Linked DNA regions of Tamandua tetradactyla. The protein of the gene in region 1 binds, or shares a complex with, the protein of each later gene. Links are inferred from orthologs where the notes say so. Each region holds a gene or a part of one and is shown in the gene's direction. Other genes may lie near its edges.

Region 1 (6,963 bases):
GATGAGTAAACTCTGTTTTATATTAAGCAGCTAGGCAAATAAATAATAGACTTTAAAATTGTATAAAGTGCTATCAGGAAAAAGAGGAAGGTATCTCTAGGAAATGGACATTTGAGCTGAGACTTGAAAAAGGAGAACGTGTTAGGCAGGCAGACAGGGAAAGAGAACAGAGTGGTATTGTGCATGCATGTGTGTGGGCGGAGGTCAGTGGGGACCAGCTCAGGGATGGCAAAGCCATTCCTGAGCATTCAAGAAACAGGCAGCAAGCTCGTATGGCTGGAGGGTACTCAGTGAAGGAGAATGTAGCAGAAGCAATGTTGGAGAGGTGAGCAGGGACCAAATTGTGCCAAATCTAGTGATCCATGTTAGGGGTTTTGTATTTCATTGTGAATGCAATGGAAAGCCTTGAAGCTTTTTGACAGGCTAATGGCATATTCTGACTTTCCTTCTTAAAAGTCTAGTCTGGATGTGGTGTGAAGTCTAGATTTGGTAGAGGGACTGAGGTCAAGAAGTGAGGCAAGGAGGCCTTTTAGGAGACTAACTGCAGTAATCTGGATGAGAAAGGGTGGATGGGTAGACTGAAGTTAGCAGAAACAGAGGGCACTGGTTGAAGTTAATATAAATTTCGAAGGTATAATTCGTAGAGCATACTCGTGGAACACTTGGATGGATGAAAAGGTCATTTACTGGGAAACAGGAGGAAGAAGGGGAAAAGATTAAGAGTCGGATTTGGATGTGTGAAGTTTGAGATGGCTGTGAGACACCGAGAAAGTAGTTGAAAAGTAGAAGAGAGGTCTGGACCAGAGAGATATGAATGAGAGAGTTGCTGGCATAGAGATGGTTGTAGAAAGACAAAACAGAGTTGAGTCTGCAGATTACAGCATTTTCTTCAAGACACCAAAAGTTTTGCTGTAGCAAGTAAGCCAGATCACTTGCAAAAATGAAGCAGCTTTGAGCTCCTAGGGAAGGCAAGCAATTTTTATAAACATAAAAAGGAAGTCACCTTGACTCCTATTGATTGGATGGAGGTTTGTCCTCCATCCAATGTTACGTGGGTTTAACACAGATGGGCTTTATTTGGTATTGGGTCAAATATACTGAATTAGGGGCTTGATCTGAGTTGGCTACCTTGGTGGAGATTTCAAATTTCAAAAGCTTTCAGGAAGAAACTCAAGAGGGAATTCAAAGAGGAAGTTGTGCTTTTTGTTTTGTTTTGTTTTGTTTTGTTTTGGCTCTAAGAGGTTCCCGGGGCTTTCTCTATATGATTTTATCGTGGTACTTCAAGCTTTCCCTCATTGTCCAATCCATTTGTAAGGATAGGTGGGCAAACTATAAGTTGCATACTCATGATCAGGGAGAGGAAGGCAATCAGTCTGTAACAGTTCAGAGAAACAATTTTCTATCTCCTAATACGATAAATCCATTTTCATCCTGAGTATCTTGTAAAGGTGAAAAAGGGCCTGAGCGAAAGAAAGCTGGGTCAGATGATTTCTTTGTCCCAGTTAGAAGACTGAAATGGCTGCTCCATCATTTTACATTTCTTGGGTTTAATATCCTTCCTTCAAAATGCACCAAGAATGAGACAATTTTCTCTGCACGTAACTGGGCATATTACTTTTCTGGAACACTCTAAAAATAGGCCATTTGTCCTTCTATAGTGAAGGCATGCTTACTTTCCCATAGTTATTAGGGTTTAATTACATCTGGACATTTCTGCTGAGTTGGAATCTGTCACTCTCCTAGAATCTCCCACACCAAATGGAAATGACACTCTTAAGCCATAGAGTTTAAGCAGGCTCAGGTCTCCATGCTGTGGGCTGCCAGGCAGTGAGTAATTCTGGCTTTGGAAAGGGCACGTTTGTAAAGCTAAATTAATACGTCCTGTTTTCATCCGTGACTTCTTTCTGTTTCCAGTTTTAAACAATCAGCTGCCTTGGTTACATGACCATGCAAAAAAAATTTTTTTGAGGTGTGTGTGTTTATCATCAATCCCAGAATGGACCCTACTCTTGGAACTGAATCAATCAGTACTGATCCATATGCTCAGAGGAGAGGAAGGAGAAATAAAATCCATCTACCTTACCTTTCTGAATGGAAAATCCCAAAGCTTCCGGCAGTCCCCAAATCTGCTGTGAAGCAGATGAGGAACATGAAAGCTTCCATTACATCAGCTCCTTTCCAACATTTTGGTTTTTCATTTCAGATGATAAGGTTGAAAGGCCCATTTGACTGTTATAAATTGCCTCTCTTCATCAAAGAACTCCAAAACCAGAGTCTGTAAACATTTCTAGATGCTGCATTTAATTGTAAACTACTGGGAAAGAAAAATGAAATGATATCTAAGCTAAATGCCCAGACTCTTTCCAATCTTCCTCTTTATCGCTGCAGCTCTGGTGAAGTTGTCTTTAGTCTCCTTTAAGAAGAATGAAAAGCTGACCAACCTCAAGTTTGAAGTCTCATTTGACCCTAAGGCAAAATACTCCAAGCTCCCCCAAACCAAATCCAAGGGCAACAGGGGTGAGCAACTGTCATGATGTTGCAACTTGTATATTTGTGAAAACTGACAACTTGGTCCTCTCTGGGAGCCATCTCCATGCCTGCTAATTAATGGTTTTACTTTCCTTTGACTACCTGCCAGCTGTCTTGGGGTAACCACCATGGCACAAGAGAGTTAATTGCTAACAATTGGAAGTCAAGATGAAGGCAATAAAACCCGAGAAAGTCTAGTGTGACCTGAGGACTGAAAGCCACATGTGCTGATTTCTCACCAGCAGAAGTTTCTGGGCTGGGAACTTAGTTTCATCCCTTGCATGAATTGTTGATTAAAAGAAGCTTGTAACTGTCAGGCTCCTGAAGTCAAAAGAACAAACTAGTGATCGAGCCATGACCAAAACTCACACGGAGGCCAAAAGATTTATAGAGCACATCCTTGCTTGTAAATAAAAAAAAAGACAGTGGAGAATCAAAGACAGTCAGAAGCCAGCAGCACCAGGTTTGATCAGAGAAGGCAGTAGGTGCCTGGGTTATATGTGACCTACTTGATTGTTGAACATGAGATAGCACCAATTAACATATCTGGAGAGAGACCACTTTAACTGATGAATTAGAATTCTATTCCCAGAGCCAATCTTTCATTTAAGCCAGGTCTTTAGCCATCACTGAAACTATCAGCCCCCAGAAATATTTAAGCCTACCTGGTGGAAAAAGCAAGACTGAGAAAAACAGTTTCAGCAATGCAATTCTTAAATTTTGAACTAGCTGGGTCATTGTGTGGGAGTGTCTAAACCTCTCTGAGCCTCAATTTCTTCATCTACAAAATGAAAATTATAGGATTATAGTGAGAATTAGATGAAGTAATGCAGGTCAGGAAGTTAGCACAGGGCCTGGCACAGTAAAATGCTCAACAAATATCAGCACAGATACTACTGATGCTGCTGCTGTTTCTGAAGGTGATGGTGATGGTGATAACGAAGAATGAGCAGAATCCTATATCATTAGAGTTTAAAAATCATACATAATGTCAGCCATATTCTTGTTCATTCTTTTTCTGCAAACACTAACTGCTGTTCACCTATGAATGGTACTGCTTATGGAAAATCTTTGGAAGTTTTGGCATAATACTGGAAAAAAAATCATGATTGCTTGATTTGTCTAATGTAGGTAATTTAGCGTGTTTCTTTGTACATTTGAAAACAAAAAGATGCTCAGGATTCTGAGACCAGTCCAGGAGCTACTAAGCCCCTGTCTCTTTAGCAACTAGTCCCAAGCAGGAGGATGTCCCAGGCCTAATGATGACCTGAAGGTGCAGTGACGCTGTGTTTGTTTCCTTGTTGATTTCCCTTTCCTGGCTCCAAGCTCATTTTCCCAATGCCTGCAGGAAAACAACAACCAAGGGTGCGGTAGGCCTGACTTGGCAGCCCTAAAGGTGAACAAAAGGATCCCGATTTTTGGCGTGAGCAGAAGGAAGTTCCAAGGAGCCTCAGCCCCATTCAAAACAGGGCAGATATGTCACTAACGATAATGAGTGGCTGTTCAGAGGTGAGGGGTGGGGGATGGGTACGGCTCTCCCACACGGCTCCCCACTGGCTGCTCTCGGGGTTTATGGGTCTGCTCTGCTCAAAGCCTCACAGAAAGGGCAGGCGGTGCGCTGATTTACTCCTGAGTGTAGACAGGTGGATGGTCTGCATGTGCGTCTGGGAGACAAGACCCAGGAAAAAGAAAGAAAATGTTTCTGTGCAGAAAAGCTGAGTTTCCAAACGGACTGTCACCTGAGCCTTCACACAACTGGGGACTGATCCACAACGAAGCAAAGGTAAGATGCCTGCCTAGTTTCTCCACCTGCCAGGACCCCCCACAGTTTGGGAAAACTGCCCCTGACACCCTAGTCTCTGACATCTGCCTTTACCTGAGACAAACACACACATACAATCAAGTTCTTACAGAGGCAGAAGTATCTAGCTATGTCTTTTTCAAGACCTAGAAAGGCCCCAGGACATTTGCTTTTCTTACATCCATTTTTTTTTCTTTCCTCACTGCTCCTCATATAAACCTCTTTCTTCCTTTATTCTCAGCAATGAAAAACACTTGCCATGCAAGCCAGGGTAAACATCAGCAATTCTTTTCATGGTAATTGGATTTTAGGTAGCATTATACTTTATCCCTATTCACACAAATGTTTTGTTTCATTTCTGTGGTAGGAGCAGGTATTGTCTTTGCATTTTCACCCGTGGAGAAATTTAGCTCCAGGGAAATTGTGACTTTCCCAAGGGCACATAGGTAGGTGGTCACTGGCAGCAACTCCTGCCCCCATTCCTGCCTCTTTTCAGTAGAATATTGACTGTGTTTTCTAAACAAACACCAGGCGACATTCTCTGGAACATATTCTGACAAATAGTCTGATGAGAAAATGGATTTTAGAAATTGGGACGCTCCTGGAAAATCCTGAAATAGATAGTGACAGCATTCAGTGCAATATACCCCCTTGTTATTGATTCCTGTTTACTTCCATTCTTGGGAATTGAAGACAGTTCAACAAATGCTGATAGACTATGTCCCCTGGAACCAACTCTGGGTCACATGTCAGGATGTGGTGCCAGCTCTATGCCCAGGGAGCCAGAGGCAGAGGTTGTGTGTGAGAATAGTCTCCTGGGGAGGTGAGCTTCACACATGGGCTTTGCATACGGTGAAAGCTTGCTCTGTGGGGAGAGCATTTCAGATCAGCAGAGTTCCTGAAATATATCTCAACCAGAAAACATTTACAGCAAGACGGTGGCAGTAGGGCAGAGGGGTGAAGCCTGGCCTGGGGGATTACATTGTCTGGCCTTGAATCCTGGTTCCATCTCCTACTAGTACTGCATTCTGGGGTAACTTAATTCATCCCTCTGGCCCCAGTTTACTGACATGTAAAATGAGAATAATGGGAATGCCTACCTTATAGAATTGTATTAAGGTTTAAATGAGATAATGCTATGAAGGTTTGCTGGCACATAATAAGTGCTCAGTAAATGCTCTTCAGGAAATGATTACCATCTGCCTGGGAATACAGATAGGGGGTTCCTGTCCTCGATTTCATCAAACTTTTGTGAGTTAGCTATACACAATTAACTGTGTGCTCTGTGACAAATGCTCTGGAATCTCGGAGTCAGGATCTGCTCAGTGTGTGGGAGTTGGATTCTGGGTGAAGTGGAAGAAGGCTACACAGCAGAGGGCCTGTGTGTAGAGAGGTGGCATAGAACTGTAAAAAGAGCTCTGCAGATTGGTTTTCTAATCCCAGCATGATCTCCTCCTAGATGCATAACATGACCAAGTTATTAAACGTCCCTGAGCCTCTATTTCCTCATCTATAAAATGGGGATGATACTTAACTTGAAGAACCATTGTGATGATTAGAAACAGAACACATAGAAGATGTATCCCAGGTTCCAAGCCTTACAAGGTGCCTAACTGGCAGTGGTTTTTCTTAATGATACTTTAGACCAAGTCTCAAATGAACATGGTCTCCCCTCACAATCCAGATTACAGGTGAACACCGAAGAACTGCCCCTCAGTTATTTATCTCACAGACTATTCTAAGAGGACAAAGGAGACCTCAAGTGTTTCCATGTCTTGGTTCTAGCAGATGAGCCCATTGTCAGATAAGTTAGATGGACTGTGTGATCATCTCTGCAGGTACAGCATCCTCTTTCTTTCCATTGTTCAGGAATCTGTCCACTCTTTACTAAATGAGAGAGATGAAGATTACCTACCTCTCTTGCCTTGGCAGAGCAGCCGCAGGCAGCAGATAAACCTGGATTCTGCCTTTAGGGCAACTGCCCCAAGCTTTCTCCACCCAAAGCAGCCTCTGAGTACCTGTGACCTGCCAAGTATGGGAAGCATTATACTTCCTGACTTAGCATATTCATTACAATGGATATAGATATAGACACATCAATGTAGATGTAAATATAACTATAGCTGTAGATCTATAGACCAGATGTTGCTATATAGATTTTTTTTTTTTTGGAAAATATCACAAGCTTATACAAAAGTTGCAAGTACAGTACAGTGAAAAGTATGGTAATAGAACTTTTGCACTATCTTTTTCCTGAACCATTTGAGAGTTAGCTATCAATGAGATGCCACATTATCCCCCAACACTTTGTGTGCATTTTCTATTAACAAGGACATTCTCCTCCATAACCACATTATACCCATCAAAATCAGGAAATTAACACTGATACATTATTACTATCCACTCACAGAACCCAGTACATTTTCATCAACTGTCATCTAGTCATCAGGCCAATTCAAGTTGTTTCTAATTGTCCCAACTATCCTGTATGGCCAAAGAGCACATTTCTGAGCCAAGTGTTGCATTTAGTTGTCATGTCCCTTTAGTCTGCTCTGGTATGGAACAATTTCTCCATACTATTCTCTCCTCCACTTTCATGACCTTGACACTTTTGAAGACTACAGTTTCGTGGA
Region 2 (6,984 bases), on another chromosome or scaffold:
TCTCACCCAGCAGCTGAAATTGCTTCTTTTTCCCCATTGAGGAAAGCACGTGGCCCTTGCAGTGTCTCTCGTCACTTGGAGGACGGCAGAATCGTGAGACCCAAGGTCCAGAGCTGGAGGCCTGCGTGTCTCAGACCCGCTTGTTAACACAGGTCATCCCCTTCTCTCCTTCATGTCCGGCTCTCACACCCCAAACAACTGGGGGATGCAGTGCTTCTGACACATGACCCCAAATCTTGGACATGGTTCCCTTTGAGAGGTGGGGTGTCCAAGGCCTCTCCTGGAGTCTGGACCCCACGCCTACTTGGCTGAGAGGATGCATGGATGTGACTGTCATAGGCAGGACTCCAAGATGAGCCCCCAGGCCCACGTCCTTGTGCAGCCCCCTCCCCTTTGGGGGTGGGGGGGACCCGTGACTGTGGGGAGCTGGCTCTTGTCTGGGGGTGTCACAGTATAGGGCAAAGAGGATTCTCCAAATGGGCTGAATTGAATCACATGTGCCCTGTAAAGGCAGAGCATTTTCTCCAACTGGGAGCAGAGGAGGAAGTCATCAATTTGAGGCAGAAGAGGGTGGGATGCCCTGTTGCTGGGTGTGAAGCTGGGGGGGCCATGCCAGGTGCCAGGGAAGGGGGTGGCTTATCGGAGCCAAGAGCAGCAGCCAGCAAGGAAACGGGACCTCAGTCCCCAAACCACAAGTAATGAGTTAGGTTAAAAACAGCATAAGCTGGGAAGCAGATGCTTTCCCCGAAGCTCCAGGTAAGGACCCAGTGGGACTGACACCTTAATTTTGGCCTTAAGAGACCCTAAGCAGAGCACTGAGCCGAACTTGTCCAGATCTCTCTTCCAAAGAACTGAGAGACTGCACGTGGGGCTGTTTTAAGCCACTAAGTCTGCAGTACTTTGTTACTCAGCACTAGAAAACCCACTTGGTGGCACTGTGCCCATTTCTAGGTCTAGGCCTTCAGTTTTCCAGCAGCTGCCATCTTCCTTCTCATAGAGCATCTTCTCTTGGAACGTGTCTAAAGCACACGTTAGAGACTGTTTTCACTCACTGCACGGTGTCCCTACCCCCGTCTGAGCTCAACACAGTCCCTCAGAGAGGCCCTGGGCCTCGCTCCCACATTCATCAAGGTGGCCCTCGCTGCCACCCTCCTGGAAGTTTCCTTCAGAGTCTTTAACGCAATTTGAATTACAATGTGAATATGCTTTATGTGAGTTTGAATTTTGAGATTTTGGAGTATGTAAAGAATATTAGGAATGTCTCTATAGTCAAACTTTGAAAAAATGCAAATTACAAAAAAATAAATTAATTAAAAAACCCTGAGGCGTTGCCCAGCCCCGGAGCTGCCTTCCTGGGGACTTTGTGAGCTCAGCACTCCGTGGTCCGTCTGTGCTGAACAGGCACCTCTCAGGACCCAGCCTGGCTGGGGGAAACTCGCTACCGAGCTGCTGTGAGTGGTTTTGGTGATGCTCACAGCGTTAGGGCATTCGTGCTATTATAACTCAAAAGCTTTCTGGAAGCCCTCCCGGTATCATCAATACCGTGCTGGGGTTGGGGCCGGCGCAGCTCTGAACACTGGGCTGACGACCTTGGAGGGAAGCCACCCGTCGTCGCCCGAGGAGAGCCCGTCCCCAGGCCTCCAAACATCAGAACTGACGTGAGAAAGGAAAAGAGGAGAATCAGGGCAAAAATGCACCACACTGGCCTTAGGATTGCGTTCCTGTACCCACGGTTCTGGAATTATTTGAGTTTAGAGTTAGGCTCGGCCTTCAGAGATGAGTCTCATGAACAAGATGCTGCGATTGGAGCATACGACTCCCCAGAGGCAGGACCCCCTAGTGTTTTGCCCACCATTTTCCCCACCAGCTCCTCGCACAAGGCCCAGCCCTGAAAAATGTGTATTAAGTGAATGAATGAGCATTAGACACCGTCATTCAAGAGCAAACCGTCTGCCTCCTCCGTGGGCTCTTCCGAAGGGAACTGGGTCTCACCTATTCTTCTTTCCATTTCGTTGTGGGTAAAACGCAGCTCATAACCTCATGGAGCTGGGGGGATAATGCGAAGCTCTTAGAGCAAGTTCGGGCTCCACGATCCTAGGCTGGTTTTACTGTAATCACTTATGAGAACTATGTGTGACATAGTCCTGCCGCATCCCACAGGCTAGTTACACAGGCCTGGCAGGCGCCTGCGCGCATGGAGGGCTGGGGGCTGGCCCCCGGGGGCTCCCGTGGGTGGGGCGGGGCTCTCCCCCAGCCTGTCCTTCCTCCGCAGGACCGAAGTACCCTGCGGGCAGTCCCGGGGCTGGGGGACACCGTGTTCCCTCTGCCTGGAAGACTGCGGCGACGGTAAGTGTCCTCTGAGTATCAATCACATGTAATTAGTGAGTGACGTGGCTGACCCGGCCAGGTGACCTGGAGGTGTCAGGGTGTCCAAGGCTGACTTGACGATGTCACCCCAAGAGTTCAGGTGAGCTCTGGAGCAGCAGGCCTGCCTTACACATAAGTTACCCTGAGAGATACAAAAGGTGCGGGCAAGTCAGTAAGGATAGTGAGCATCCATTATATCCACTAAAGCCCACCGACTTCGTTGAGCAGGGCAAATGCTTGGTTGAATCATGTTTACATTAATAGCACTAATAAGCCTAGGTCAGTAATACATGTGGTTGTTTCAGTGCATTCTCCTGGTGGACTTCATATTGCACTTTTTTTTTTTGCATTGAGTAGGTTCCTCGAGTGACTTTCAAAACATGCTAAATTTCTAATTAACTGCTAAGGTGCAAAGGCAAGGAAACTTGGGAATGAAAATGGTTTAAGTAAGACGTAGTCAGAGTAACACAGTGCAGAAAGAGAACTTTGGGCCGAAAAGAAAAAGTATTGCTGGTAAAAACTGGCATTTCGTGTAAACACTAAAGCTTTGGAGGTTAAAGTGTGTGTAACTTAGAATTGGTGAGGACGTCAGTCAAAGCACAAATTTTCAATTATGGCCATTTTCTGCAGAAGAGGGCCTAGAAAAGTTTCTGAGTTGCGAAAGGGAAGGAGCTTCATCCACACACTTACTTTTATTTGTTTTCGGGGGCCTATGGTCTGGAAGTTCCATCAGGAGACAGGAAGAGAGGGTGTTGGGGTCAGGAGAAGCTCCTCGGGTGCGCAGTGACCTGTGCAGTAGGACTGAAGGCATCCCAGTGGTCTGCTCCAATGGCTGAGAGGACACGGGGGGCAGTGTCCTGACACTGGCGGAACAGCCTTGATTCCCCACCCATTGCTCTCAGCCTCTGTCTGCGTGGGGGGTCCCCACCTTCTCACTGTCCCCAGGGAAGGTCACGTGTGACGGGGACACAGAGACAGGCCAGGGGTTCCAGAAGGGCCTGAGAGCTGCGCCCAGGCCCCCTCGGGGTGTAGGGAGGGGGTCTTCTCCAGACATGGTCGCAGTGCTCTTAGAAAGCCACGTTGCGAGCTGGGGTGAGGAGGGGGGCCCACGCACAGCGCCCCCCAGCACAGGCCTGGGCGGCTGCTCTCGGGGCCCACCCTGTCCCTGAGACTGTCCCGCTCCCCAGGCCTTGGGGCAGAGGACGCCTTCCTCTACCTGGGCTGCCATCCTAGGGGTGCTGGTGCCTGAGGCAGAAGGACCGGCCTTCCCACCTGGGGTCCCTGCGGGAGGCGAGGAGGGCGCAGGCCCAGGCGAGACCCGCACGGGGCGGGAGGAGGCCTGACCCTTCCAGCTGCTGGGCCGGGGGGGAGGACCCAGTGGGCAGGGCCGGCCTCGGGAGGGACCTGCGACAAGGGTGGGCTGGGCCCTGGGGGTGGCCGGGGGGCTGGGGGGCTCTGGTGCTGGGCCTCGGGCCTGCACTTGGCTTCCTGCTTGGGGCGGCTAATGATTAACGAGGAAACCTGCCCCTCGGGTGCTGCCCGCCCTGCAGTGTGGGGCCGGGGAAGGCCACCTCCTTGTTTATCCCGGACTGTGAGTGACGGGGCCGCTCCAGGAGGAGCTTCCTGGTCCCTGTGGAGAGGATGGAATTCTCCAGGGGCCGCGCAGCTTCTGCCTCTGCGTGAAAAGGGAGCCTTCAGGAAGCAGAGCGCGTCTGCTGAAGCCCGGGACAGATCTGCCTGCCCAAGGTGAGAACAAGCTCGTCGGGCCTCTTCTAACTGGGGTGTGCCTAGGCACCCCCCCAACACACCCGGGTCTCCCCAACTCCTGGCCCCTTGCCCAGGGCCGCTCCGGCCCCAGGAAAGCCACTGACCGGGCTGCCCAGGGAAAGCATGGACCTGCCTCCCGGTTTCTGCAGAGTTAAACATTAAAAGGCTGGGTGGTGGTGAGGACTCGGAAACCTGAGACAGGTTCCCCGGCAGCCCGCCCAGGGACACAGGGAGCCCCGCTCAGGGGGCGCTGGGGCCAGGCCCTGCTGGGATTTGGGGTCTGCCCTGAAATGCTGGGGAGCTCCCAGGACCCCCGCTGCCCCCTGAAAGCGCCCGCCCATGCTCCCCCGCTGCCCTGTGTCCTGGCAGTTCTCAGGCTCAGTCCCCGCGGGCCACCGCAGGGCACCCCGGAACCTGGAGCTGGTGGGAGGTGGAGAAACGCAGGGGCCTCTTGCTTTTGGTGGAGTGGCTTTGAGCACATCCCTGGCCTGGTTTTCGTGGCAGCTCATTCTCAAGCTGCCCTTGAGCCACAGCTTGTCGTCTGCTCCGTTTGCGTCCAGGCTTCCCACTGCTGCCTGAGACGGGAGGTGTGGAGGGAACAAGATCAAACTTCCCGACAACCCAGAAAGAAGGTTTTGGAGGGTGGGGGTGGTGGGTGGTGAGTAAGCCAGACGCCGATTCAGGCGTGCTTTTCCCCAGGATGGCCAGCTCGGTGGGTTCTTTGTTCCCCGCCTTTCTGTGCAGTGAGGAAATGGTTGGGGTTGAGTCCACCCACATGGTACACGTAATTAGGGTTTCTTAAGAAGGTGTCTCAGCTTTTCAACTGAAATTAGACAATTCGAGTCTTCCAACATGAAATGAATGAGAAATTAAGTCTCACGTTCCAGTCAGATGACCCGATAGAGACATGAACTTACAAATGCCTGGCCTACACCTGACTTCGTTAAAGGGGAATAGGTCTGGTTTCAGTTTAGCTTTATAACAGTTTCCCTCATGCCCACACCTCTCCAATATCATTGCCTCGCCAACCCACATCTGCTCCCACCTCACAGCTGGACGCTCGTGGCCCTCAGTGGGTTCCTGCATTGCCCTGGGGTTTGTATTTTTAAAGCTTCTGGATTTTTTTATCAACAGAGTCATTGTCATACAGAAAATAATTGTGCCTTGTGTGTGAGGACACTGGCAGAGTGGAGCTCTTAATAACCTCCCAGCATGACTCAATTCGGTGATCAGCGACTAGAAGTATTTCCTATCTGATCTTAATCTGTTGCTACAGTTTCAATAATGCCTGGTCCATGCTTCTCATTTATTGCTTTCAATATAATGTGTAAGCTTTTATACCTCTGCAGCACCACCCCCTCCTCTGCTGTAGGTTTCTGTTCTAAACAACCACCAGAGTGGTTTATCTGCAGAGGCGTGTTAATCGAAACTTAAAGACCAGTAAATGATTTAGTTGATGCTTCACAGATGGGATCTTGACTAAATCACAGGCCGGCTATGGTTTCATTTCAGTTTGTGTACAAGCGCTGCACCACTGGCCATGGAAGCTCTGCTGAGCCTGTTTTAGAGGATGTCAAGGGGTATGGTGCCGTTACCCAGGGGTCCTACAGCACAAATATTTTGCATCTTGAATTATGGACACTAGTAATTATATTGTTAGGACAAATGTTGAATTTTGTTTTCAGAGGATCCAGGGAAACAAAGGGATGGGAAACCCCAGGTTCCTTCTCGTGACCCATAAATACCCAGTAACTTCAGTGTAAAATGTGGGCCATTGGCCAGTGCACCTCTGCTCTCCTTCTGTGCACTGCGGTTCATTTGTTAGTGAAATACAAAGAATAAATGCAGGGTGACCAGTGAGCAAGAGAGTTCTAGAGAGCACAGGGGCTGTGGGAAGGGCAACCACATTGCCTTTTCTGCAGCTTCTCACATGCCACGCTCGGCCCCACCCCAGGGCCTTTGCACCTGCTCTCTGCCTGGAGAGCTCTCCCCGCAGATATCTGCAGGGCTGTCCCTCCACCTCATTGTCCGTCTCACTGTGGGTCACCTTCTGGATGGCGTGTCCTCTGGCTATCATCTTGGAAATGACAGCCAGCCCAGCCTTCCCAGTGCCCTGGCCCATGCTCCCTCCTGCTCTGTATTTCTCATCCCTTTCCCACCTTCCCATAGGCTGTATAACCTAGGCATTGGTTTTATCACCTCTTACCCCTCTTAAAAAGTAAACCACTTGGAGGCAGGATTTTTTTTCCATAATGGTTGAAGCATTCTGATTAAAGTGAGCGGAAGTAAGCCCTCACTTCAGGTCCTGGTCGGTAATTTGCCGGTAATGGTTTACTGTCTGCATCCCATGGTTTATCCTCGGGTTAGGGAGGGAAGGTTATCTGATACACCAGTTTGAATGAGCCTCAGAAGCGCCCCCAGGGCTTGGTGAGGCACAGATGCTGGCCCTGCCCCCAGGGTCTCTGACGTGGCAGATCCAGGTGGGCTTGAGAATTTGCTTTTTGAACAAGGTGCCATCCCAGGTGAGCGGGTGCTGCTGATGGCACGGGGGACCTGATCTGCCCTCCCCAAGGCCCCACAGCCTGGAGGGGGCCCAGGACATCTGTGAATAGGAGACACCCGCGGGTCACGGATGGACTGTCCCCTGCCCCCTCTCTTCCCCAGGGCACGGACACCTGCTGAGATGGGAGGCAGCTGGGAAGGCGTGCCTGGACCACTGGCCATCCTGGTCTGGCTGGCAGGTAAGAGCCACGTGCCATGGGTGGGCGCAGCAGGGGACATCCAGCCTCGGGCAGTGGGTCAGGCCCGGTGTGGGGAGGGGGGGCCAGAGGAGGCAGCCGGAGCACACAG

What was found. The genes of interacting proteins can lie anywhere in the genome.
Region 2: the proteins of LNX1 (region 1) and IGSF5 are in contact, whole or in part, in a crystal structure (PDB 3VQG), measured with the Mus musculus proteins. The link is inferred for Tamandua tetradactyla from reciprocal best matches to the Homo sapiens genes LNX1 and IGSF5. Residues at the interface, in NP_001153049.1 of Mus musculus: Gln396, Leu397, Gly398, Ile399, Lys400, Leu401, Val402, Phe413, Leu416, Pro446, Ala449, Ala450, Ile453; in NP_001171358.1 of Mus musculus: Val367, Thr368, Leu369, Val370.

Annotation. Positions count from the first base shown.
Region 1 is NC_135345.1:53,897,989-53,904,951, reverse strand, and holds the start of LNX1 (E3 ubiquitin-protein ligase LNX), read left to right. Parts: upstream 1-3,895; 5' UTR 3,896-4,312; intron 4,313-6,963.
Region 2 is NC_135336.1:97,013,842-97,020,825, forward strand, and holds the start of IGSF5 (immunoglobulin superfamily member 5), read left to right. Parts: upstream 1-3,880; 5' UTR 3,881-4,113; intron 4,114-6,798; 5' UTR 6,799-6,817; coding exon 6,818-6,875; intron 6,876-6,984. UniProt on the Homo sapiens protein: Provides, together with MAGI1, an adhesion machinery at tight junctions, which may regulate the permeability of kidney glomerulus and small intestinal epithelial cells. Mediates calcium-independent homophilic cell adhesion.